Drosophila melanogaster: one gene and its partners. The gene in region 3 interacts genetically with the main gene of each other region. Each region holds a gene or a part of one and is shown on either strand. Other genes may lie near its edges.

Region 1 (7,117 bases), on a different chromosome or scaffold from region 3:
GGCAGTGGGCGTTGGGGGTGATTTAAGTGGGGGGTTGAGGTTTGGGGCAGCTCACACACACACACACACACATTTCTAGAGCGCTGCCATTTTTATTGTTGTGCGATGGTGAAGGGGGGAACCCGCCAAATGCGTTTCCTACTTAGCATTTGTTTTGGTGAAGAAGGATATGGGAGAGGGGCGAAAAGAGGGGTAAGTCGGGGAGTAGAGGGCAGAAACTCTACAAAAGTTACGACCATTTGAAGAGCGACGCTTGCGCAAAACAACCCCTTAGGAAGATATCTTTTTATGGCGCCAACAGTTGTTTTTTAAAAATGCCAAGGAATGCAGAGCAAAAATCCTTAATTGCTTTATTCCTTAACCTTTTCAAGGAACGCAATAAAATTAAAAAAAAAATTTAAAATAAAAAGCACTGCGACGATTCATTTATCTTTAAAATGTTGTTTTTGTTACTTTCTAGGTCAAATTAATTTGAAGATTTAGTATATACTGTGGAAATGTTGCTAATAGTCCCAATAATCGTTAAATATTATTGCAAAAGCATATTTAATTAAAATTAATTGTGATCGGGAAATTATTGTTCCGGATGTACTATACCTAGCATATTACACACTTTTCTATTGACATTACACTGTAAACACCGGGAAAATTGTCTAATTTCTTAGTATTCGTCAAGGGAGAAGCTCCGTTGGCGGAACATTGAAACCGTCAATTATAAAGAGCGGCATTTATAAGAAATTTTAGCAAATGTATAAAGGTGGTACTATTAAGGGATCAAGGGCTTCTAATCGTTGCAATTATACAGAAATCGTTATTGGTACAGCAACAACAAGAATTGAGAATTTCCTGTGTGTGACAAACAAGGAGAGCAATTGAAATAAGCGGCCCAACCCTGCCAACAAAAAGGGCCAATCTTGCGGATACCGAAGCTTGCAGCAAACATACCAAATAAGCCACCGATCGATTGTGAGAGCAAACACCGGTCTAATACACAGTAAGAAATTATAGTGCCATAACCATATAGTGTAGACCATGCATATAAGTAAGTATCCAATATTTGGTTAATTGTAGTATAAGATTCAAAAGCTAAAGTGTATTTTTCATTCGATTGATTGTTGCCACTCCGTTTTGTATTCCATTTAAATAAACTAATCAAGGCATTTTTTTGACATCTTAAAAATGGGTTCTCATTCCATAGTTAAGAAGAGCTATAAAGTAGTTTAACTATGCCTTTTATTTGGATCACAAATGCATAGAAGAAAAACAGAACTGAATAATAAAGTGTTTTATAAACGTACCAATTTATGATTTAATATTTTGTAAATAAATATAGCAGCGAAATTCTCAGAACTAGCCGGAATTTTCTTGAATTTTTCAAAGAAAACTATTTATATTTACAATAAAAATTGATATTGGTAGCTTAATATGAAATATGTTATTGGGCTATTCAAATTTTCAAAATTATTTTTGTGTTACGGTTTTGATAAAAAATGCAGATATCATCAACTGGCGAAGAGCAAAAGGAGCAATGTTTGGTAAACAAGAATGCAAACGTGCACACAAAACGAAAACAAACCCGGAGACTATTGTCAATAAGATACAAAACGCAGATACAAAGATACAAAGCAGCAGCAGCGAATTTTTATCACTTAGCCGCCACGTTGACGCGTCCTCCGAAGGTGTAAAAAACTCTACAAAATGTGCGCGCTCTCTCTCTCTCTCTCTCTCTCTTACTTGCGCGACCCTTCTCCCTTGCACTATCTCTCGCCTTGTCTCGCTCCCACTCGGTCCTTTTGGGCGGCAGCGACGCAGCAGCGACCAACCACTACAGAGACACCCTCATACTTACAAACACCCACGTTCTTCCTCTTGCCCCTTTTTGTTGCGTTTGTTTGCCGTTTTTGTCGCAAGTTTTCGAATGTGTTTTCAAATCTAAATTGTCGCGCACTCGAAACGGACGCGCTGCGCTCGGCTAACGGTGAATCGGCAGTCTAACGGTTTAAATACTTTCAACGTTCGTAAATTCGAGGCTCTATAAATCTCGAACTGTTTGGAAAATAAGTTAAAAATTCATATCAGTGCACTTGTGTATTTTTAGGAGTTCTAATGGCGATCAACAATAATTAACCTAGTAATATTAATAAACAAAAAGAACTCGATCGCAACGTAAACTCTTGTGCAATTAATTAGATAGTTAAGTGTCACGCATCGGATGGAATCCAAATTTAAACTTTATTAGGGAGAAATTAAAAGACAATTAATACAGGTAAGCTAATTATGATGATGAGAAAAGGTCCCTAGGTAAACAATTCGAATATTTAAATATGAAATGAAGAAAAAGCTGTGCTCTAAATTAAACTATTGCACACTCCTCCCCAAAAACTAAACACTTTAAAAAAGCGAAATAAGCGAACAAATATATTTTCTTAAAAAAGAAACCAAAAGATTTATAAGGATATGAAATATATAATGAATTTTATGAATATTTGCAATTTTCAATGTTAGAAAAGCCTGTTTTAAAAAATATATCATTTTCCAATCCAATCTTTAATTAATTCATCATTTGAAATCGAATTTGGCAGTACTGTTAATATGCAAATATACGTTCTTCAAGGAATATATTTTGGATAATATTAATTTAAGGGAAATCCCCAATTTTGCAAATACTCAATACTGAAAACTGATTTGAATTACTGGTAAATATTTAAATTGGTTTGTCATAAAACCGGGACACCATTTTGAGCCCCCTGTACACACACATTAGAAGGGGTAAATGGAGTTCCATTGTGCATATTTTTGGTAAGCTATTCGCAGTGCGAAGAGCTCCAATCAAATGACTCATGCAGGGAGCAGCAGACAGAGTCCCCAAGCTAACAAGGCATATCTATTGAATACCATTTCCGTTGGCATTTCAGAGCTCGAGGAGCAGCTGCAGCACTACCACCTGATAATTACCACCTGCACCCCCATTGGAGTCCCTTGACTCCGCGCCCGGCATCATGACGAGCATCTCGGCCCTGCTCCATCGGAGCCACAGCCACAGCAATGGTTACACGAGCAGCGGGAGTAGCAATCACAGCCATAGCAGCAGTCTCTCACCGCAGTTGCCCGGCATCAATTTGGGTTTGGGCATGGTCGGTGGCTTGGGCATGGGTATGAGTGTGGGAGTAGGCTCTGGATCGGGAAACACCACCCCACCACCGATGCCGCCAGCTGACCTCGCCGTTCCGCCAGCGGCCCCCACTCCGGTGGCACCCAAAATGCACCAGCACACGCACCACCATGGCAACTCCCACCATAATGCCCCGACCAGCCACTCGAATTCGAATACTGGAAGCCATCACAACAGCCACGACCACATTAAGCGACCAATGAACGCTTTCATGGTCTGGTCGCGGGGGCAGCGTCGCAAAATGGCCCAGGACAATCCAAAAATGCACAATTCTGAAATATCAAAACGCCTGGGCGCCGAGTGGAAATTACTCACCGAAGGACAGAAGCGTCCATTCATCGACGAGGCAAAACGATTGCGGTAAGTATTGTTCACTGGGGTCTGGTTAAAAAGCACTGAGAAAATATGTATGTACTAAATTTGTAAACAGAAATAAGAGTATTTTCTTACCTGGAAAAGTCCTTACCTTTCAATTCAAAAGTTAATTTTCCAAGTCTATTATTAATAGGGTTTATTAGGGCGAAGTTATATTTAAAAAAAATAAAAAGATATGGATCCCATTGATGTTAAAAATCACAGATTATCATATTGCAGTAATCCTATATTAATTTAAACTAGGAAAAACATAGTTCTTGTATTTTTTGTAGTTACCTCCGCTTTCTATTCTTGGATATAAGAATTACTTTGTTTATTCAATTTTATTCAGTCCACACGATATACATTTTTTTTCTGTGCCGGCTTATGCAGGAGCAGAGTGGTGTAGGTTGGATGGGAAATTCTGGCTTGGTTTCGGTTACCATTTTCCCAGTTGGTAGCTCATTCTCACTAGATGCCGTCTGGCCACAAAATTTGATCGATTAGCTAAGACAAAGGCTACCTATTGTGAGGAGCTCCTGCTGAATTGCGGAGCTCTGGAGTCGGGGATTGTGTCCGCTCTGCTTAGTCAGAATTTCATTGGCACTGCCATATCTTGGGTAAACATTTCAATTGAAGTTGTCACACAAAAGCGAGGCAACACGTCGCATGAAATGCTCCATTCATTTTGCATTTTGCTTCTTTTTGTGTGCTTAACCCATTCAGTGTACCCTTTCGAAAGGGTTTGAGTAATTTCAGTTTGAGCTTAGTTTTAATAAACGTAATTATCGGGATTAACTGAAAATACCGCTAGAATGGAGTTCTTTGTACAAGAAATATACTCAAAAGCGAGCATTTTACAAATAAGTACAAAAGTGATATCTCACATTATTTTATTTTTTATAAAACTAGCTTTTAAATAAGTTGTATTGGTATAAATGGAATCAAAATTTGCAGTGCACTTTTAAACCACAGGAATTCCCAGAAATGCCGTATCTCACAAGTTCGTTTTTTCTATGCCTTCCTAGATAGTGCGGTCTTTTATGATGACGAACCTCTGTGTTTGCACTGTCATAATCCTTTTATTGATTGGATTGGCCTGCCAAAATGGAAATGTTAAATTTTACTTACATTTTATGACATTTATAAATGATCAGGGCTCGTCAGAAGGGGCTTAAACTAATGGCCATTCGGGGTTTTCGAGCGAGCATATCGAATGAAAAGAACCAAAAATTCTGATCAAATATTTGCCAATGCGCGATGATAAGGAAAACAATATTTTTTTTCGGGACCCGCGATAAGGAGGCCATAACTGACCAAAGAAAGGAAAACAAAATAAAGAAAAGCGAAAGTAAAACAAGAGGAGGCGACCCAAACACACCTTTTATCAGGTTTTATCGTTATGTCAAACAAATGTCAACAATTGCGCATTGTTGCAGCTGGGAAATCGGAAAGAGAATCGAAGTTGGAATCGGAGTGCTGGTTCTTCGCTAAATACACAATATAAACTTGTGCATTTTGTATCTGCCTGGCGTGGGGTTTATGGAAGGGTTCCGCTTCTCTTGGGGTTTACGACCAGAGATGGCTGACTTTATGATATCATCAAAGCTTAAATCGTTCGATCTTTTGATCAGTGTTTCAACATTTATTTAATTTACAGGGCTCTGCACATGAAAGAACATCCCGACTACAAGTATCGACCACGTCGCAAGCCCAAGACGCTCAACAAGTCACCGGTGCCAGGTGGTGGTGGTGGCGGCGGTGGAGGTGGTGCCAACGGTGGTGTCAACGCTGGTGGTGCGGGTAACTCCGGTCCCAGTGGCCCAGGATCAGTTGGCTCCCCCAAGGATATGCAGCCCCAGTTGTCGCCCTTGGGTCAGTCGCTGCCACATCTCCACGGACATCCGCACCAGTCACCATATCAATCGCATCCACACCACCCGCATCCTCATCCACATCATGTCCAGCTGGCCGCCGCCACCTTGAGCGCCAAGTACGGTTTTGGTTCGCCACTGGAGTTATCGCTGCCCCGCCTGCCGAATGCCTTTCCCGGCCTCGCCCACTATCCACTGGATCCCACGTTGGCCCTGGACCTACAGGCGCGCCTCCAGGCGATGTACGCCGGCTCCATCTACCACCCGTGGCGATATCTGCCGCTGATAAGTCCGGAAACTCCACCCTCCCCGCCCAGCAGCAGCGGTACCGGCATCTCATCCTACGGATGCGTCAAGTCAGAGAAGTCCTCACCAAATGCGGTAGTGGCCAGCGCGGCCAGTCCGCCAAACATCATTTGACCGACTCCATTGCGCTTCGGCGCCGGCACCTCCTCATCCGCGGAACACGTGGTCTAGGATGAGCACCACAGAGGGAATTTGGATGGTAAACTTTACCATTCCTCTCCAAAAGTTAAAAGTCCTAATGTTAGAGCCTAGTGTTAGACGAATATTAATGCACGTCTTTAGTTGCTACTATAATTATGTTTTTGGTTCTGATTTAGTGCTGCTTCACTATTTTAGATGATTAATTTTAAAACTACATTCAAAATCTCAATTTACTGACATTTTTTGACAAATAATGAAGTTAAGTCCGGCCTCGAAAAGCAATAGACATTTTAAATCAAAGAAATTTTAAAAAATCTTAGCTAAGAAATAACACTTAGTAGTCTCTTATAATTTATATATATATATTTTATATATATTTTTTGACATTTTATTAAAATTCACAACATCATTTGAATTCGTACATATTACTTAAACTGCACTTAATATTTTTATTGATATGTTGTTATATGAATAACTCAATTCTTTCGATAAATCTTTGAATTAATCAGCTTTGAATCAGCTTAAAACACATTTTAAATGGTTTTATTCATACCTAATTTAAGGATTTCACAATCTTTGTTATCAATTTCTGGAACCCAAACAAATGGCTTATTAGATCTAAAGTACATTAGATTTGTTAAGGCATCGAGAACATGTCCACTTTTATGTAATATATGATTGTAAAACTATACTTTAATGTGATAAATGAAAGAGCAGAAATCGAATTAAAAATAGTGTGAAATTCCACGATTTTTAAACAGTGTACTTGAATAAAGCATGGCATTGGGATTTATGGCAAAATTGTAACAATAGTTTTAGGATTGAAGAACCCTATAGAGACCTGGTTTGCATGTGAGTGAAAATCATAGCTTGCAATCTGTAAGGAGTCACCGCCAAACGCCACAGGCTTCTGTGAATATAACGACAATGTTTGCTGATGCGTTGATTATTAGTTTAAATTGCCGACACGCCGCGGGGATGAATGGATGACGATGGCCAGGATTGTCTGCCGTTTCGGAAGGGTGGCGATCGTCCTTAATGGGATTCCTTCACGCCCACTTGTTTAAGCGGCCAACTGTGAAGCGCTCACCGTCGAGGCGTGTCAATAACTCTCGGCCCAAAAACAATTGGCACTTTTTTGTCTGAGGCACTGCACAAAACAAAGCAGCAACCACCACTATTATTGGACTTTTCTCTGGGTGGGTTGGGTGGAATATAGACAGCTTGGCGGTACAGGGCAATCGCGACAGCATCGTAACCAGCTGAAAAG
Region 2 (7,815 bases), on a different chromosome or scaffold from region 3:
CCCTCCGCCTCCGCCATCACTACGCGTCCAAAGGCGCCCTCACCCAAAATGGAGCCCAAGCTAAGCTGCTGCCTGGGAATCTCCCAGTTTGAGTCCAGCGGGAACTCATACTCATTAAAGCCCTGGGCGGGATCAGTACCGCCAGTTCCCGTTGTGGAAACGGTTGTTCTCTGCTTCTCGATCCTTATCACTGGCATCTGAAGATCGCCGGAGCTGCAGCCACTTCCTTCTTCTCCACCCGGTCGGTATATGATCACCTTTTTAGTCCACTGATGAACCGTTTCGATGCGGAGCTTCAGGAGCTTCTCCCTCCTCAGCCGACGCAGCATGAACGTTATGAAAGCACTGCCCAAAAGGAACAAAGCCACTATCGTAATAGCGGCCAAGGTGAATCCGAGAGGATGGGCGTGCAGCAGGGCGTAGATCTCCAAAGGTGGCAGAGGACTCACTACCCTAAGGTACACACTGGAGTTACTCCTTCCCAGACCACTTGAGGCCAAACAGGTGTACCAGCCCTCCTGGTCAAAGGTCACATTACGAAGCGTTAAAACTACGGAGTCATTCGTCACGGTGAAGTTGAGATTCTGGATTTCCACAGACTTAAGGCCGTCCAAGGAGGCATTCTTGAGGACAACCCTTTTCCAGCTGACTGTTGGATGCAGATCAGAGTAGACGGTGCACTTCATCACCAAGCTGCCATTGACTTTCACCGTCTGATTTTGCGGCACCACGATTATTGGTGCGGATCTCGTGCGATCGTTTATTTGGACACTGAAGTCAAACTGGATGCAGCCCCACGCATTGCACACCTTACAGTTGTATAGTCCAGAATCCTCGCTGGTGGCCTCCACGAAGCGGAGTGTCCAGTTCTTTTGCACATAGACGCCGAGTTCACGGTTTAGCGGCTTCTTGTCCTTCGTCCAGGTGATGTTCGCTTTGCCGTACACTGGACAGGCTAGATTGACAGTATTTCCCGATAATGAGTGCTGTAATCGTTTCAGCTCTTTTCTGAACACAGGTGGACCAACGCCGCCTGATGCTTCCGCTGCTGGATTTTCCACGTCGTCATCGTTGTCCTCTCCGGTGGATGCAGTGGGTATTGGGCTGGCCACGGTGGTAGTAGTGGTCGTGCGAACTGTGGTAGTATCTGAGGGACTGTAAAGATCCACATAGGAGGCGGCCACAGTGCGTCCAACCTGGTTCTCGGCTATGCATATGTACCATCCGCCATCCTCCATCAGGACATTTCCAAGACGAAGTACCTGCGGTTCATCCATTCGGGTAATCAATCGGGTAACATCCACAGGTAGCTGGGACTGCTCTCTTAAACGCTGCAAGAGGTCATCGATGTTGTCCGCATTCCCCTTATGTAGCCACGTGATCTTCGGCTCCAGGGCAGAGTCCTCAAGTAGGCATTCAATGCTCACATTGTCCCCGAGGGCAATGCTGGTATTGCGGGGATATCCGGGCTTTAGCATGGGCACCGTGTGCTTTCTGCTTATCACCTCCAATTGGGTCGGATTACTCCTTTGGCAGTCCTGTTCCACGCACAGCTCACAGTGATAGCTTCCAGCATCCTCCGGCTGCAGTTGCCCCACTGTTAATGACCACCTTTTAAGCTTAATGCGTCCACGTCCACCAAGGATTTGAGTATCATTGTGCAGCCAGGATATATTAACACCCTTTGCATCCGGATCCATGGGACTGCAGTTCAACTGAAAAAGGCCACCTGCGGTCCGTTGTACGGTTTTGGGTAGGGGTTGCAGCAACTTCAGGGATCGACTCTCATTCAGGGGCTGAAAAAAGAGATCTGACTCCGGGAGGGCCGGTGCATCTTCCAACTTGACAAAGCTGGCGATATCATTGCCAACTGGTTCCTTATGGCCAACAACAAGGGAAATATTGTACCATCTGTTCTGACTATCCAGGCAGCCGTAGTTTCCAGAATTTCCGGACTGTGCTCGTTCAAGTCGCAAAAGGGTAGCCCTCAGTTGAAACTTATCCTCATAGAACCATTTGGCCATGGGTCGGACGCACTGCAGCGTGATGTCCATGTCGGAGAGCAGATGGCGCTGGCGGGGACTGTTTTCCACAGTCACATCGATGTAGCAACGATGATGGCCATAATCGCATCCCAGGTCCGCAGCGGCAGAGACGATCGCAATGATCATCACCAGCGTGATCGGCACTTTTGCCATGATTCAAGTGGATTCTCTTGAGTTCAACAGCCACCAAGATCTCGTATCTGGATGGGCACGATCGTGTACATATGGGTTACAGTTGCGGTCGAAATAATATCACTTCCTGTGGGTATCTTCATTCGAGTTCCTCGATTTCAAATCGAGCGTTCTCCAGCTAAAGGAAAGGATTAAATATATGAATTACATGGCATTGATTGATATATTATACTTTAAAAATAACACTTTGGAATTTTGTTTAATTTAACTAAATTTAAGAAGTTATGAATGCAAATATTATTAGCTATTCGTTACTTGAATACCACTATTGTGCCACTATTCTTTTGACCGCAGCTGTATAAGTGGATCAATAAATATTGCCAAATCTCCGCTTCACTTTTTGCCCCTCCCTTAGTTCCCGATCTGTGTCATTTTATTTATTTATTATTATTGTTTAATATTTTATTGCCAACACGGCACACAGCCAAGTCAAGTCTGTCCGCACCGATATGCAAAAATCCAAAGGAGAAGCAACTGAAACAAACGAAAACTGTGTGCCCTGCCTTCGTAATGAGCTGGAAGACGTGGTCGAAGCCACCGAATTGCCGGACACACTCGTCGCCACCCACTACCGAAGGGGATCTCCATTATAACTTGTCTATATTCGACGTTCGCCAAATGCTTTTGTTGCTGCGGCCTGCGCTCCTCGATTTCCATTCAACTAAATGCCGAACAGTTAGAAAATCACTTAGCTATTTGTTGAAATCAGTTGTTACAGTGGTGTCACACTTTTCAGTTATTCCCCAAGTACTATACTTGCACTTACAAAACAAACAGACAAGGTGCTAGAGAATTGCAACAACAAATCGAGAAATACCTAAATGATTTGCCACAATCTGAAATAGCAACTAATTAACATTCAAATTCTCTGTGCAATATGAGCTCAGCATTTTAATCAATTAAAAGGTATATTTATAATAAAGTTATGCTTTAAACACTGAATAACACTGCTCGAAAATCCTAATAGCAGATAATTATTTCAAAATTAATTTTTAGTATAATCACGTAAAGGGTATAGGACAGTGGGTATTCCATCTACTTGGGTTCGTCAAATGTTTGCCAAATAAAAATAAACAATTTTTAGTTCAATGATTAATGATGATAGGGTAAATTCCCAAACTTGTTGTCTGCGAATGTAAGCTTTGTACAAAATGTAAAGTTTTAAACGAAGTTTAGAAAATATTGATAATAATGGGGGCATAGCATAGTTCGACTATTTTTTCTATCAGAAAATTAAAATATTTTTAACTTTTATAAAATCGTTTTGACCACTGTGCTGTTTAATGAAAAGTATTTTATTGTTTGTAAGGCTTGGGACAACCGTTGCGATTGTCATTGTTGTTGTTAATATGGTGCTAGTGCTGCCAGTAATTGTTGTTGTTGTTTTAGCCGATATTGCCGCTAGCCGCTAGCCGTTTGACTTCAGGCCCGATTTATGTATGTATGCACACGCGTCGCAGGTTTTAATTTATTCAATTCCTTTTTTTCTCATTTGTTGCCAAATACGAGTCGATCGCTGTATTTGAAGTATGTATTATTGCTATTTTTATTTAATTTTTTTCTCAGTTTGTCATTCATTCAATATTATTCGATTCGATTTTAAGCCACAAGCGCACATGGCCAAAACCGTTTAGCTCACACCTTTTTATCTTGTGAATTATTATCGAGCGTATAAATCTAATGCATGAACGATTTGATATTTCAACTTGGTCAATCAGCTATATCGAGAATAGAATAAGTTCTTTATTTGGAACCCTGGGTATTAACTCCCCATTCAGTTTTCTTTCTGCAAACATTGACTTAATGTAAAAGGAATGTTTGGATCAAGACATAAATTATTCATTCATACAATTGACATCACTTTAATTTTATTTTCTTATTTATTTCATTGGTGTTTATTTAATTATGTATGAATCAGTTTTATCACGTTTCTTTGTCTCAATTAAAATTTTATTTTTAACATTTGGTTACTTTGCAGACTTTTTGTTTTTATTTATCTGTGGTTTATGATCTTTTGGCTGCACTTGGAAAGATTTGTATTTATTTTACTGCTGGAACAATTCACTCTTAAATTATTTTTTGCTTTATTTTGGTTTCACTGCTGCTTGTCAGTTCGCAGTGGGAACACAATTCTTTTCTGCCATGCCACAACCCCAAATCTTTGACCAAAAAAATCACGTTCTTTGTCTTTTATTTTCGAGGAGCCGGAGAAGGCAAATAAGATTGCAAAAAACATTGTCACTATGTTTATTCGGCTGTCAATCGCGGTTGGGGCTTGTATAAAAATCTTAAGACTCGGCAAGAGGGCAGCGGAAGGCGCCTTGCATTTCCGCTTCGTTGCCAACTTTTATTTCCCTTTACCAGGCATAAATGAAAAGAAATATGTGATGGGTAGCTGGTGTTGGGCGGGGGGGGGGGGGGGGGGTTCACTTCCGTTGCACTAACCGTAATCCGTAAAGTTTGTGGAAGGAGCCAACCGATTGGCTTGAATGTGCGCAAACAACTGAAAGTAACGATCGAAACGGAAGAAACTTTTACGCGGTACGATACGAACGATCCGAACGTGCCGATCGAACCGAACCGATCCAATACGATCCAATACGATACGAAACGAGTGGATATCTGTGGTTCCCTGCGATAATGTTTGCTAGGATCCTGGGCACAGGGTCTTCGGATGGGATGGTATGGGTTCGGACGGCTACCTGATCGAGGTGGTCTCCCTCCCGCATGTTGCAATTGTTTTCGCTGGTAGTTTTCCTGAGCGGTTTCCTTTCTTTTTATTGCTGGTTTGCTGCTGCTGCTTCTGCTAGGTTCTTGTTGGTTTTATTCTAAGCATGTTTGCGGTGGCTTCGACTCGTTGAAATTCTTTATTATCTGGCCTTCGGGTTCCCTCCCTGTTTGTTTGCTTGGCGGCTTAATTTATGCAAAAGAAAATGTGTCCATTGTCTTAGTGGTGTGCAGTACGTGCGCATGCGCGGTAATCGCATATCAATAAGGAAATATCCGTTACGTGACTGATATCCAAAAATCTCAGTTGCTGCATGTGGCATGGCAGCAGCTAGCTCCCGCATAGGCCAAAATCCAGATCCAGATGCCGGGCACGTAATCTACCCAAAAATAGTTAAATGCATTTTTGATGCACTTGTTAGGGGCTATGGGAACAAATGCGAAACAGTTGGGAAATACGAAAAGGAGGGACATACTATCCAAACTAGCTATCAAAAACTTGTTATAGCTAAACACAATTTCCGGTGAATTAATAACCAAACTCACCTGATGTCTTCATTTGTTAAGGAGCCACCCCTTAACAGCACTCATGTTTACCGAGGTCAGAATGCGAAAAGATATTAGTTCTTAAATTTGAACATCTCTTTCTCTTTTTTATACATGTATGTACATTATAATTAAAATATAATATTCTTTCAATTTAACACTCCGGAGTGGTATATGGATTTATACGAAGTAATCATAAAAGAAATTTGGTTTTTATTTTTCAACAAGAAAAATTATGAAATATGTACTACCTAAGACTTGCGTCTTCCAACAAAATGTTCCATTTTCCAGATGTACAAATATGCAAAAAACAATTTAAAATAATAATAATGCTAAGCTTATAAGTCTTTGTCTTTAAGCCAAGGTCGCACGCTTGGCTACAAACTCCCTAGAAGTCTTCTCCTTGTTGGTAAAGCGAGCATACCTACCAAGAGATAATTAAAAAGGTAAGAAGAACAGAAGAACAAAGAAGACATTGTTACGTACGTTCTGTGATATTTGGCCACATCGGAGGCGCTGAGCGAAGGACGAGTGGTTTGGAACGACTCAATCAGGTGCTTCTGCTTCAAGGAAATTTTCTTTGCCAGTTTCTGGGAAAGCAATAAGAAACAAATGGTATTTTATACTGTGGCCAGAGACTAAGAACTACGTGACTAATCATTGTTGCAGGAAGTAGCATAGATTTCACTTTTGATTTAAAAGACAAACACGTAAAGGAGTTTTTACATAGAAGTTACATTTGAAATCAGGATGAGAAACAATAAAACATGAAAGAAACGGTTGAAAGCTTGCATGACCCATAAAGCAGATTGTTTCCGGTGAAAATAATTCCCAGCTCACCTCGTGTCCGAATTGAGCTAGCGCCTCCTTAACCGCCGCCATGTTCGCCGAGGTCAGGATGCTCTGGATATCGGCGCCAGTGTAGTTTGCAGTTTTTCCCGCAAACCAATCGAAGTCCACGCACTCATCAAGGCTCAGTGTTGAACTGAGTGCTTCAAATATACGTACTCTGGCCGGAGCATCCGGCAAAGGACACTCCACCAAGCGATCAATGCGACCGGATCGAAGAAGCGCGGGATCTAGCAGTTCCGGTCTGGAGGTAGCTGCTATCACGGTAACTCCCTGCAGTCCTTCAACGCCATCCAGTTCTGTGAGCAACTGATTTACCACTCGATCGGTGACCCCCGTGGAATCGTGACCACGTTTCGGCGCCAAGCTGTCAAACTCGTCGAAGAAAAGCACACATGGTCGGGCACTGCGAGCTCGATTGAACAGGTTTCGAACATTTTCCTCGCTTTGACCAATATATTTGGCGAGCAACTCAGGACCCTTGACGGAAATGATGCGCAGGTTCCACGATGTGGCCAACTGAGAGACCAGATAGGTTTTACCTGTTCCTGGTGGCCCATATAGAAGTACTCCGGCCTGGTTGCGCAGTGGAGAGGCGTTAAAAATGGTTGGATACTGTAAGAAATTAATGATTTATTAAATTTTAGAAAAAAACATATATTTCGTTTAAAACTCACCCTTGATGGCCACATAAGGACCTCCTCCAGAACTCCCACAACTGACTCCAGGCCAGGCAACTCCTCGACGCGCATTTCATTGGCATCGGCATCATTGCCAGTTCTTTGATTGCTCTGAATGCCCTGCAGGCAGTACGAGTTTGTGTGCTCCAGGGACTCAATAAGCTGATCATTGGTCAGAAGAGGCTGGGTCTTGCCTGGAAAAAAGGGAATTTAACATGATAAAGTTGCTTACTAACACTACAAACTACTCACTTATGCGATAAGCATAAAATATTGCACGCTCCACGAACTGAACAAGATCACATTTCCGGTAGCCCTCCGTGAGGTTGGAGAACTTAACAAGATCCAGGTCCTTGGCCACATTGATATGGCTGCACAGCTCTCGAAGAATTATCTCTCGATCTGCTCGTTCCAAATTGGGCAGACGAGCAACAGTCTGGAAGACATGTCTTCCCCTTGGTGAGCTCAATCGCTTATTGAGGGTCTGCAACTCGTTGACGGTGGCGATTACTGCAATAGCGTTGTTGGTGGTATACTGAACAATCAACTGATACACAGTATCCGCCATGCGATTGTAGTACTCTCCATCCTGACTGGACTGCTCTCCAGCAGCGTGGGCCAGTACATCCAAGTTTTCTAGCACAACAATGGCGGGGGCATGCTGCAGGCAGCTGGTAAAAATGTTGCGAAGATCTTTTTGGATGGACTCCGTCTTGCGGCCTTTGCTTCGCGATCCGTGGAAGAACTCGAAGTGACAATAATCCGGCTTGCGTGAC
Region 3 (4,981 bases):
CGTGTGTGTGTGTGTGCATGAAGAGGAAGAGCGAATGAGAGCGATTTTGTTTTTGTTTGCGAAGTTTTTTTTTCCCTGGCAGCAATTCAATTCAACAATTAGCCACTACAACAACAGCACGTCATAAAAAATAACGCTATTTGTAAACATGCGAAAGAGGAGACACGGCACAATGTCCGATGAACGAATGTGGGCAGGGTGCGGCGGAGGTGGGAATATGTGAGGCCCAAAAAAAATGACAACAACAGTAACGGGCATATCAAGACATTACTCCGGAAATGCCAAAAAGTAACCAATGGCGGAGAGCGAGAGAGGAAGAGAGCACCAAACGCGAGTAGAGAGACGCACACATGCAAAAAGTAAATAAAAAGTATGTAAGTAAATAAATAACAACACTTGATGGCAGATGAAAATCCAATAAGAAAAATATACAAGACAAATATGCAAAAACTTAAATGTATAACAAAAGGAAGGGGAAAAGAAACGAAAAAAGGCGGTGGGTGGTCTCACAACCGTGGGCACAATAACGTCATCTCTTACATGAAAAATTTAAAATTTCTATCAATTTAAGCCTCATAAATAATCGAATAACGACAACTTTTGTCTTTAATAAACCAATTTTGTTCTGATAAATTAACATATAGACCGTTATATTTTGTTAGCTATTTATTCATTTAACTTTTGCTCGCTCATTATGTACCACGAACTTGAAAATCTATTCAATAGCTGATTACACTGTTAAAATTTGGGTGTGATTTTAAGTACCCCTGAAATTCGCGGAAACTATTAACCACTACTAATCTAATCGAATCGAAATGTATTTGATTATTCAAAAACCCATTAGGCATTTTCTGGGGTTCATGTATCAAACAGTTATGGTACCAGGAATTGTTAATCTAATCGAGGCGAAAATAAATTGACGCGGTTCACAGCTGTTAATACCACTGTAGATTTGACTTCTTTTTATTTTTGTTTGGCCCAACAAAAGGCCGAAAACAAGTTGGGTACGCTTTTGGTGTTCGCACTTGGCCTGTCTTATCTATGCAATCGGAAAAACAGAACGGGAAATCGGAGGGGGGGAAAAGCGGCAGAGCTACGGGGTTGACGGGGCGCTGCTGAGGTGCTGGAATGGGGGATTATGAGCAGCTGTTATGCAGTCGGGGAATCGATAGCGTTTGCCCTTTGTTGGCGGCATCCAAATGCTCCAAAGTAAACCCAATGGCAATAGCAATGGGAAAAGCCAAGAAAAGAGCACTTCTCTTATCACAATTTAAGCACACATACATGTATGTACACACACACACGCGCACATACACAGCTTATTGGGCAATGACAATTTATTAACAAAATATTTACACAAATGCGGACAAAAGATGGTTTTGTGGCTTGCGGTTGGCGGTACGGTATATATAGATTTTTGGTGACCATTTTTGGGGATCACGATTTTTCTCAGCCCACTTTTATTACCACTTAACAAACTGTCTACAGTTGCGGTCAGAGAAATGTTGGCTTAAATCCACACCTGTCACAGAGGATCAATAAAGATTTCACCTGTCTAATGTTCGATCGATAAAACATTGATCTTTCTGCGAATTAATATCAAAAATGTTGTTTGTGCGTTTGGAAATTTACTTGGAAAGTTTTACCACGTTTTTGGCGGCCAAAACTGTTTTTCGACAACGATTTACTTTCGAAAGTAGAGAATTATCGAATATTCGAATCGGGAAAGTCTCGTTGGAAAATTTTGAGTTACAGTACGCAGTTTGATAAGCTATCATTTTTAGATAGCGGTTTAGAGTATTCCCTGGTACATGGAGTTTAGTTGTGACATTATATTTTGTTATATTTTTCTTCAACGATTTTCAAAGATTCAGGTAACTACAGTGTTTTTCTAGTTGATCCCAATTAATTTTATATATTAAAGATTTAGTAGGAAGTTAACGAAAAGAGGACTTACGCATGGGCAGTGTGGGCGTGGCTCGCGACACTCTAGTTGTCGGCGGGGTGTATGTTCCACCGAAGGTGCCCGTCGCCGGTGCTGCGGATGCAAATGCGGATGCGGATGAGGATGATGACGAGGCGCTGGCGCTGCCGAAGGGCGTCGCATGAGGAACTGGAGGTGCTGGACGCTGGGCTATGCTGATACCCGATCCGGAAACGGAACCTGCGCCCAAGGAAGGTGCGTGGGTGGCGGATGTGGCTGCGGATGCGGATGTCGCCAGGGGCGGGACGCGGGCAGATGGAACGGAACCGGAAACGACAGGGCCGCGCGCACCGGAGAGGACGATCTGGTCGTGGGACTCATTCTGCGCCTGGAGCTTTGCCTCCAAGGATTGCAGCCGACTGCCGATCGTTTCGAACTCAATGGTGGACATTATATCGAGTCGATTTGGTTCGATTTTTTATAGTTAGTTGCTAGTATCGTTGGATTTTGGTATTTATTAAATTTTTTTCGCCGTTTTTTGGCCAGCACTTCTTCGATTTTCCTCTCACTCACTCCCTCTCTCTCACACACACACAAGCGCGCGCAGGCGGGGGAGGGTGCGTGTGTGTGTGAATTGTTTTGCTGTGCGCCCTGTTTGTTTTGTCGCTGATGTTGTTGTTGTTCGGCGGCACACATACACTGTAAACTTTACACTTGCAAAAATAAAGGATTGCTTGGACTTTTGTTGTTTGCCAAGGGGGGGCACAAAAACAAAATCGAAAAAAGGAAAACACAGTCACTGTGCATTAGAGAGAGACATCCTCACCCCCACACACGCACACACACAGGCATACACGCAGCGCCCTCTCTCTCTTTCTTTTTCAGCAGCAACGGCAACAACAACTTGCGATTTTTTCCTCCTTTTTTGGGAGAATATTTCATCGGTTGTTTTCCTTTCGCGGCGCTGTTTGTCGCACTTCTGCAATCGATTCGTTTCGCGACCGCGGGCGGCGGTATCACTGGCACAATTTGATCACTCGCTTTTGTACGTTTTTGCTGCCTAAATCGCGTGTACAATAGTGATGTAAAAAAACATCGATGCATCAGCCATCGATGGTTCTTCGCCGATAATTCTTAATATCTTTTTTCGTGCCTATCGATGGTTTGCAAAACATCGGCACCTCAGAAACAGTTTTCGAACTAGGAACGGCATCTAAAACTATGTAGGATTTTATTTTACCGAGATAGAATAATTTTCAGAGGATATTTCATACAAATATAATATAACTATAATAGATTTTTCAAATTCAAATTGGTCGATTCGAGAGACTTCGTTGTTCTTGTACTTAAAATAATAATATAAGGTCTACCTATTTATTAATTAATAAAATAATAAATTATTTTAGTACAATTCTAAAACATCGAATTCTATATGTTCAGTCAAACTTGCAACATTACGTATCGAAAACGGAGTGACCAAAGTGCTAAAAAGAATCATAAATATACCGAAATGCAACTTAAGATGGGCATCACTTGGCTAGAACTTATTAAGTTTTCCCTTAAAATAAATGTCTATAAATGTATAAATAAAAAATTAAAGAAAATAAACAAACATTAAAAAATAGGTATGAAGAATATACGGAACAACTTTCTAGAAGGCTTACAAAGAGATATAGATATAATCGATACCTAACTTAATTATCTAAATTCGTTGCAGGTGGAAGCAAATTTATTATCGAGGCACTTCGATTTATTTGTATGACGATACTATAGCTGCACTCGTTGGGATATATCGATAGGACCAACTGCGGCTGGCCAGCGCTAGTGGAAAAGAGAGAAAAACGAGAAGAGAAGCGAAAAGCGATCGGTGAACAGTGCAAAAAGTGCGGAAAGGAAAGCAAAGGCAATAGCGAAAGGTTGGGCGGCAAAACCCGGGCCACACGATCCACACCGATCCGATCCCCATATCACCGACCCGCATCCGAATCCTGACCTGACCAAATGCGGTAAAAATAGCCGCACCGCATCGCATCCGATTCGCACCGAACCGCCAAGTCTTGCAGAATCCGCCAGAAAACACCAAGGAAAGTCGTGGAGAGGAGAGGGTATATATAGCATATAGCATATAGGATATAGGATATAGAAGGGCCTACCAAAATGTCCAAACGCCACCGCCTCACGCCCTTTACCATTGCCAAGGAGCCAGAGGCCGCCATGTAAGTCAAAATGGTCAAATCCTGGCCAGAAACGAATTGTGAATTGAACTACATTCGGCAATCCTTTTAGAGTCCCGCCACGCAACCTGGACTCGCGGGCCACCATCCAAATTGGCGACCGGACCTTTGACATCGATGCAGATAGTCTCGAGAAGATCTGCGATCTGGGCCGTGGCGCCTATGGCATCGTGGATAAGATGCGCCATAAGCAAACCGATACGGTCCTGGCCGTCAAACGCATACCCATGACCGTAAATATTCGAGAACAGCACCGCCTTGTAATGGATTTGGACATATCGATGAGATCCAGCGACTGCCCCTACACCGTCCACTTTTATGGTGCGATGTATCGCGAGGGCGATGTCTGGATTTGCATGGAGGTGATGAGCACCAGCCTGGACAAGTTCTATCCGAAGGTCTTCCTTCACGATCTGCGAATGGAGGAAAGCGTGCTGGGCAAGGTCAGCTGGGGAGGATTGGGGGCGGGTCTAATCTTATCGGGCAATCGCCACTATACTATTACCGTACTACTGCCTTTGCTTTACAGATTGCCATGAGCGTGGTCAGTGCGCTGCACTATCTGCACGCTCAACTGAAAGTCATTCATCGGGACGTCAAGCCCTCGAACATACTGATCAATCGGGCCGGCCAGGTCAAGATCTGTGACTTTGGCATCTCAGGTGGGCTGGCATTCTGTGACTTCTTGCCACTGTAATCATTCTAATATTGGACTGACTTTTAGGCTACCTCGTCGACTCCATTGCCAAAACCATTGATGCCGGTTGCAAGCCGTACATGGCGCCGGAACGGATCGATCCCCAAGGAAATCCGGCGCAATACG
Region 4 (3,718 bases), on a different chromosome or scaffold from region 3:
CATAACAAATATAAAATATGCTTTTTATAATGATATTTTCATAATTACAAGTATTGGGCGAACAGATGACCAATGATGTCTGTCCGGTTTTAGCTAGAAAACCCCCAAAATGCCACTGCATTTCCGCGGTTCATTGGCCACTTTCGAGGCGAATTTGGCGCGCAAATTCGTAGCTGAGTCGGCGATTTCCAACTTTCAGCACTTCCGCGGCTGATCCACTTACTACAGGTATGCCCCTCATAAGCACGACAGTTGTTTATGTTTTCGGGTCTAAATACATGCATAGGTCAGTAATTCGAATCACCCTACTCTTAATCATAGTAGTATGTTATTGAAAGACCAGAAGCTTCTTCAAATTGCATGCACATATATATGTACATATTTACATACATATGTTATTGTTATGATCATGGGCTGACTATCAGCTTGGTTGGGTTGAGTTAAACATATCACCTGCCCAGATGCACAGATGAAAACAAGTGATCTTAACCTAAATATAACCCTTCTTATTTTGCCTTCTTTAGGGTTGTATACTTTTCATAGCTTTTTACTTTTTTTGTCGTAAATCTTGCTGAATTACATGCTGCAGCTGCCCAGGAATTGTTTTCAATTCTACGCTGCACGCTCAGCAGTTTGTTCAACTCCAAAAAACCAAAACACATGTATGTATGTATGTACATACATATGTAGGCATCGATTTTCAGGTGCTATTTATAGCCTTAACAAAACCTGCGAACCTATGCTGATTCGGCGATTAAAGTAATAATTAATTACTAAAGTGCACGGCCAGCGGTAGTTGAACCCCTTAGGAGAAGCGAGCTGGAAATTCCGCCGGATGGCGTAGTTCTCGGGTTCAATTGATAAAACTCAGTGGCGATCTCGACTGGCGATTCCGACACGTTCCCACGTGCCGAATGTGCAGCGCGGAGGGGGGGAATTTAAAATTGGAATGCCGCGATAAATTGATTAGCAACTCCCTTTGTGTTTGGACATGCGATTCTGTTTGTCCGGCCGTCTGGCCAAATGCAAAAAGAATAAGATCGTGCGAAGCCTGGCCAGAAATAAAATTCGGGTTAACTTGGGTAAGTAAGGTCATTCGTTAATCATACGCCTAGTATACGCGAGTTGCGCATACGTCGCGTTGGTCGCCGAGATGCGACACACTTGGACCTGTTGCTCGCCATCAGCCATCAGGTATTAGTGGTCCATTCACGGGGTTCTGGCGAAATGTATGTACTAAATTTAAGAAAACCGTTCAAGTGAAATTTATTTACGAATTTTTGTTCGAATTTTGATGAGCAAATTGCGATTTACTCAAAGCATGTTCGCACACGATTTTTTCGCGCGAAAGATAATGAAAGCGAAGCTCTTACTTAAGGGAGACACTTTCCCTGCCTTTGCGAGTGGGAGAGCCGAGTTTCCGGGGGAGCCAAGTTTCCTGACCCCATTTGGAGCGTCCAAAACTGCAGATTGCAGTTTGGGTGTGATGGAAAGAAACCCCCAATCTGCTAATTGCCGCGACATCAACGGAAATCTTTCGGATCCCAAAAAAAGTAATGAAAAAACCCGATTTGGCTGAAAGAGCGCAAGAGCGGGAGAGCGAGCCCCCCTAAAAAGCTCTCGCTCTCGCATTTCTGATGAAATTCAGTGGAATTCTCAGGCGGCGGAGAGCGCGGCTATAAAAGCGTTCGCTCGCCAACCGAAAGCATTCATTGTGAAATTGCCACTCAAAATTGAAACAGCGCGGACAAACGGTTGAAGAAACACAAAGCCCAGTGCGAAAAGAATTTCATAAGCAAAAGTTAATCGGGTGCTAAACAAAAACACTCGAAAGCAAAGCAAAGCATAGCAAAAGCAACAACAAACAGTGCCAGCTGAAAGTGCCCAAAAAGTGGAAGCCAACGGCTCGAAAATAACACAAAACCCAAAGCAAACGCACAACCAAACGGATAACACCCACAATATGGTCGTCGAGGAGAACTGCAGCATGCACCACCTGGAGCGCGAACTGGACCTGGAGCTAGAGATCGATATGGCCATGGAGTGTGCCCCCATCGGACGCACCATCAAGTCGGCCCTTCTAAGGGCCCAGAGCGAGGCGCGTGTGATCGTGGGCCTGTCCGCCGCCATCAACGTGCTCTCCAAGTCGCCGGAGGGATCCCTCTTCTGCCTGATGGCCCAGCCCAAGGACGGCGACTCTGCCACCCACATGCACGAGGTACTGCTGGAGGCCTTTTGCTACGAGAACGACATCTACGTGATCAAGGTGGACGACGCCACCAAGCTGAGCCGCATCCTCGGCCAGGACTCCGTCGAGTCGTGCTGCCTGGTCCAGAAGGTCTGGGCCGACGCCCCCGAGGAGCAGCTGACCAAGGCCGAGAACCAGCTAGTCGACTACTGCGAGGCCCACTGGGACGCCCCCCAGCAGCCCATTGTCCAGCTGCCGGCTGTGTAGGCGCGTGTGAGCGGGACAGCCAGATGTCACAGAATTGAATGGCCCCGCACAGTGGGCGCAAGCAAACTCTAATGGAAACCAGTTGCTGGGGGTTGATGGCCCCGAACGTCTTGGAGAGTTCCCGAGGGAATCCGACGTTTCGTGGCGCTGCCAGAAGCCCACCGGCACATGTACACCTACATAGGATATATAGAATACGACATATGTATATACCCTAACCTGCTGTATTCAGGAAGCAGGAGAGGGAGGAGGGGAGCAGAGATGGATAAGCCGGCGCCTTGGCGGATAATTGAAACTGAAAGGCGACCTTCGAGGCGGCAGTAACTGCAGCTGAGATACCCGCGGAAGTCGCGCACAGATACTCACGCACACAGCCAAGGAGCAGCATCACACACAAGCGCGTGACCAGCTGCCGAACCAACAAAACATATGTGCACATATGTACACAGAACCATACATAAATATAGCCAATTTGTTTCTGTATAATTTTCGCTTTAAGCGTCGCGCAAATTTACTGATAATGACAATTATTCTGTACGCCGTAAATTGTAAATTATACTTAAAAGGAGAGCAGCCAATTGCATGTATACCATTAAAGTTTTGTTATGTTAGCTTTTCCAAAAAAAAAACATCAGATGAAAGCACACAAAAAAATGTTATCTAACTTAAGCACAAAAAGAAAATTGAAAAAGGTTTGAAAAAAACTGATAAAAAATGAAAAATAAAAATCTTGTATAAAAACCAAACTTTCTTCGTCTTGTTTTTTGCCCATCCCTTTCAGCACTCTCTTCCAGCAATCCAAACTGACGTCAATGGGTACAAATCCCTTGGATTTGGATCGGGAGGCCGCCCGACTCATCAATCTTTGCATAACTGCCGGGGTTTCCCCATCGAGCGTGCCTTGCATATAGGGCCCCATCGGACGCCTTATCAATGAATTCTCGGAACCCAGTGGAATGGAAAACACGCGTGAGCGCCGAAATCGGGGCCATCCATCTGGGGGAGACTGGGAGAAGCCCTCGGCTCGAAGTATGCAGTTTTATCAACTTAGATAATGGGTGCGAGAATAGTCAGTTTGCCTAGTTAATTGTTCCCATCACTGATCAGTGGGAAAGTCAATTAGAAGTATGGGTCATGCTTATAGGGGGAAAAAAGTAAAGCACCGTGGAGCACTTGAGTTAATCAGAGTCAATGGGCGTTATAAAAATCGTACTGGGATATTTACGATCCAATGAACGAGACAATTTCATACGAGACCCACTT

The links.
Region 1: of hep (region 3) and Sox21a, changing one suppresses a phenotype caused by changing the other (phenotypic suppression), as found in Drosophila melanogaster (2 studies listed by BioGRID).
Region 2: of hep (region 3) and btl, changing one suppresses a phenotype caused by changing the other (phenotypic suppression), as found in Drosophila melanogaster (one study listed by BioGRID).
Region 4: of hep (region 3) and Gadd45, changing one suppresses a phenotype caused by changing the other (phenotypic suppression), as found in Drosophila melanogaster (one study listed by BioGRID).

Annotation. Positions count from the first base shown.
Region 1 is NT_037436.4:14,102,957-14,110,073, reverse strand, and holds Sox21a (Sox21a), read left to right. Parts: upstream 1-1,955; 5' UTR 1,956-2,266; intron 2,267-2,915; 5' UTR 2,916-2,999; coding exon 3,000-3,532; intron 3,533-5,186; coding exon 5,187-5,820; coding exon of another isoform or gene 5,821-5,877; 3' UTR 5,878-6,593; downstream 6,594-7,117.
Region 2 is NT_037436.4:14,073,995-14,081,809, reverse strand, and holds the start of btl (breathless), read right to left. Parts: upstream 5,997-7,815; intron 5,935-5,996; coding exon of another isoform or gene 5,865-5,934; 5' UTR 5,762-5,864; exon of another isoform or gene 5,687-5,761; intron 4,746-5,686; exon of another isoform or gene 4,683-4,745; intron 2,356-4,682; 5' UTR 2,199-2,355; coding exon 1-2,198. Other genes in the region: Pex1 (peroxin 1), read right to left, coding at 5,865-5,934, 5,997-6,100, 6,351-6,974, 7,037-7,233, 7,292-7,815. UniProt on the Drosophila melanogaster protein: May be required for patterning of muscle precursor cells: generation of mesodermal and endodermal layers, invaginations of various types of cells, and CNS formation.
Region 3 is NC_004354.4:13,087,402-13,092,382, forward strand, and holds the start of hep (hemipterous), read right to left. Parts: upstream 3,034-4,981; 5' UTR 2,376-3,033; coding exon 1,958-2,375; intron 1-1,957. Other genes in the region: lic (licorne), read left to right, coding at 4,082-4,140, 4,211-4,601, 4,688-4,820, 4,883-4,981. UniProt on the Drosophila melanogaster protein: Required for the epithelial cell sheet movement called dorsal closure (DC), which allows establishment of the dorsal epidermis. Controls the expression in the dorsal epithelium edges of another dorsal closure gene, puckered (puc).
Region 4 is NT_033778.4:7,247,458-7,251,175, forward strand, and holds Gadd45 (growth arrest and DNA damage-inducible 45), read left to right. Parts: upstream 1-1,703; 5' UTR 1,704-1,963; coding exon 1,964-2,455; 3' UTR 2,456-3,198; downstream 3,199-3,718.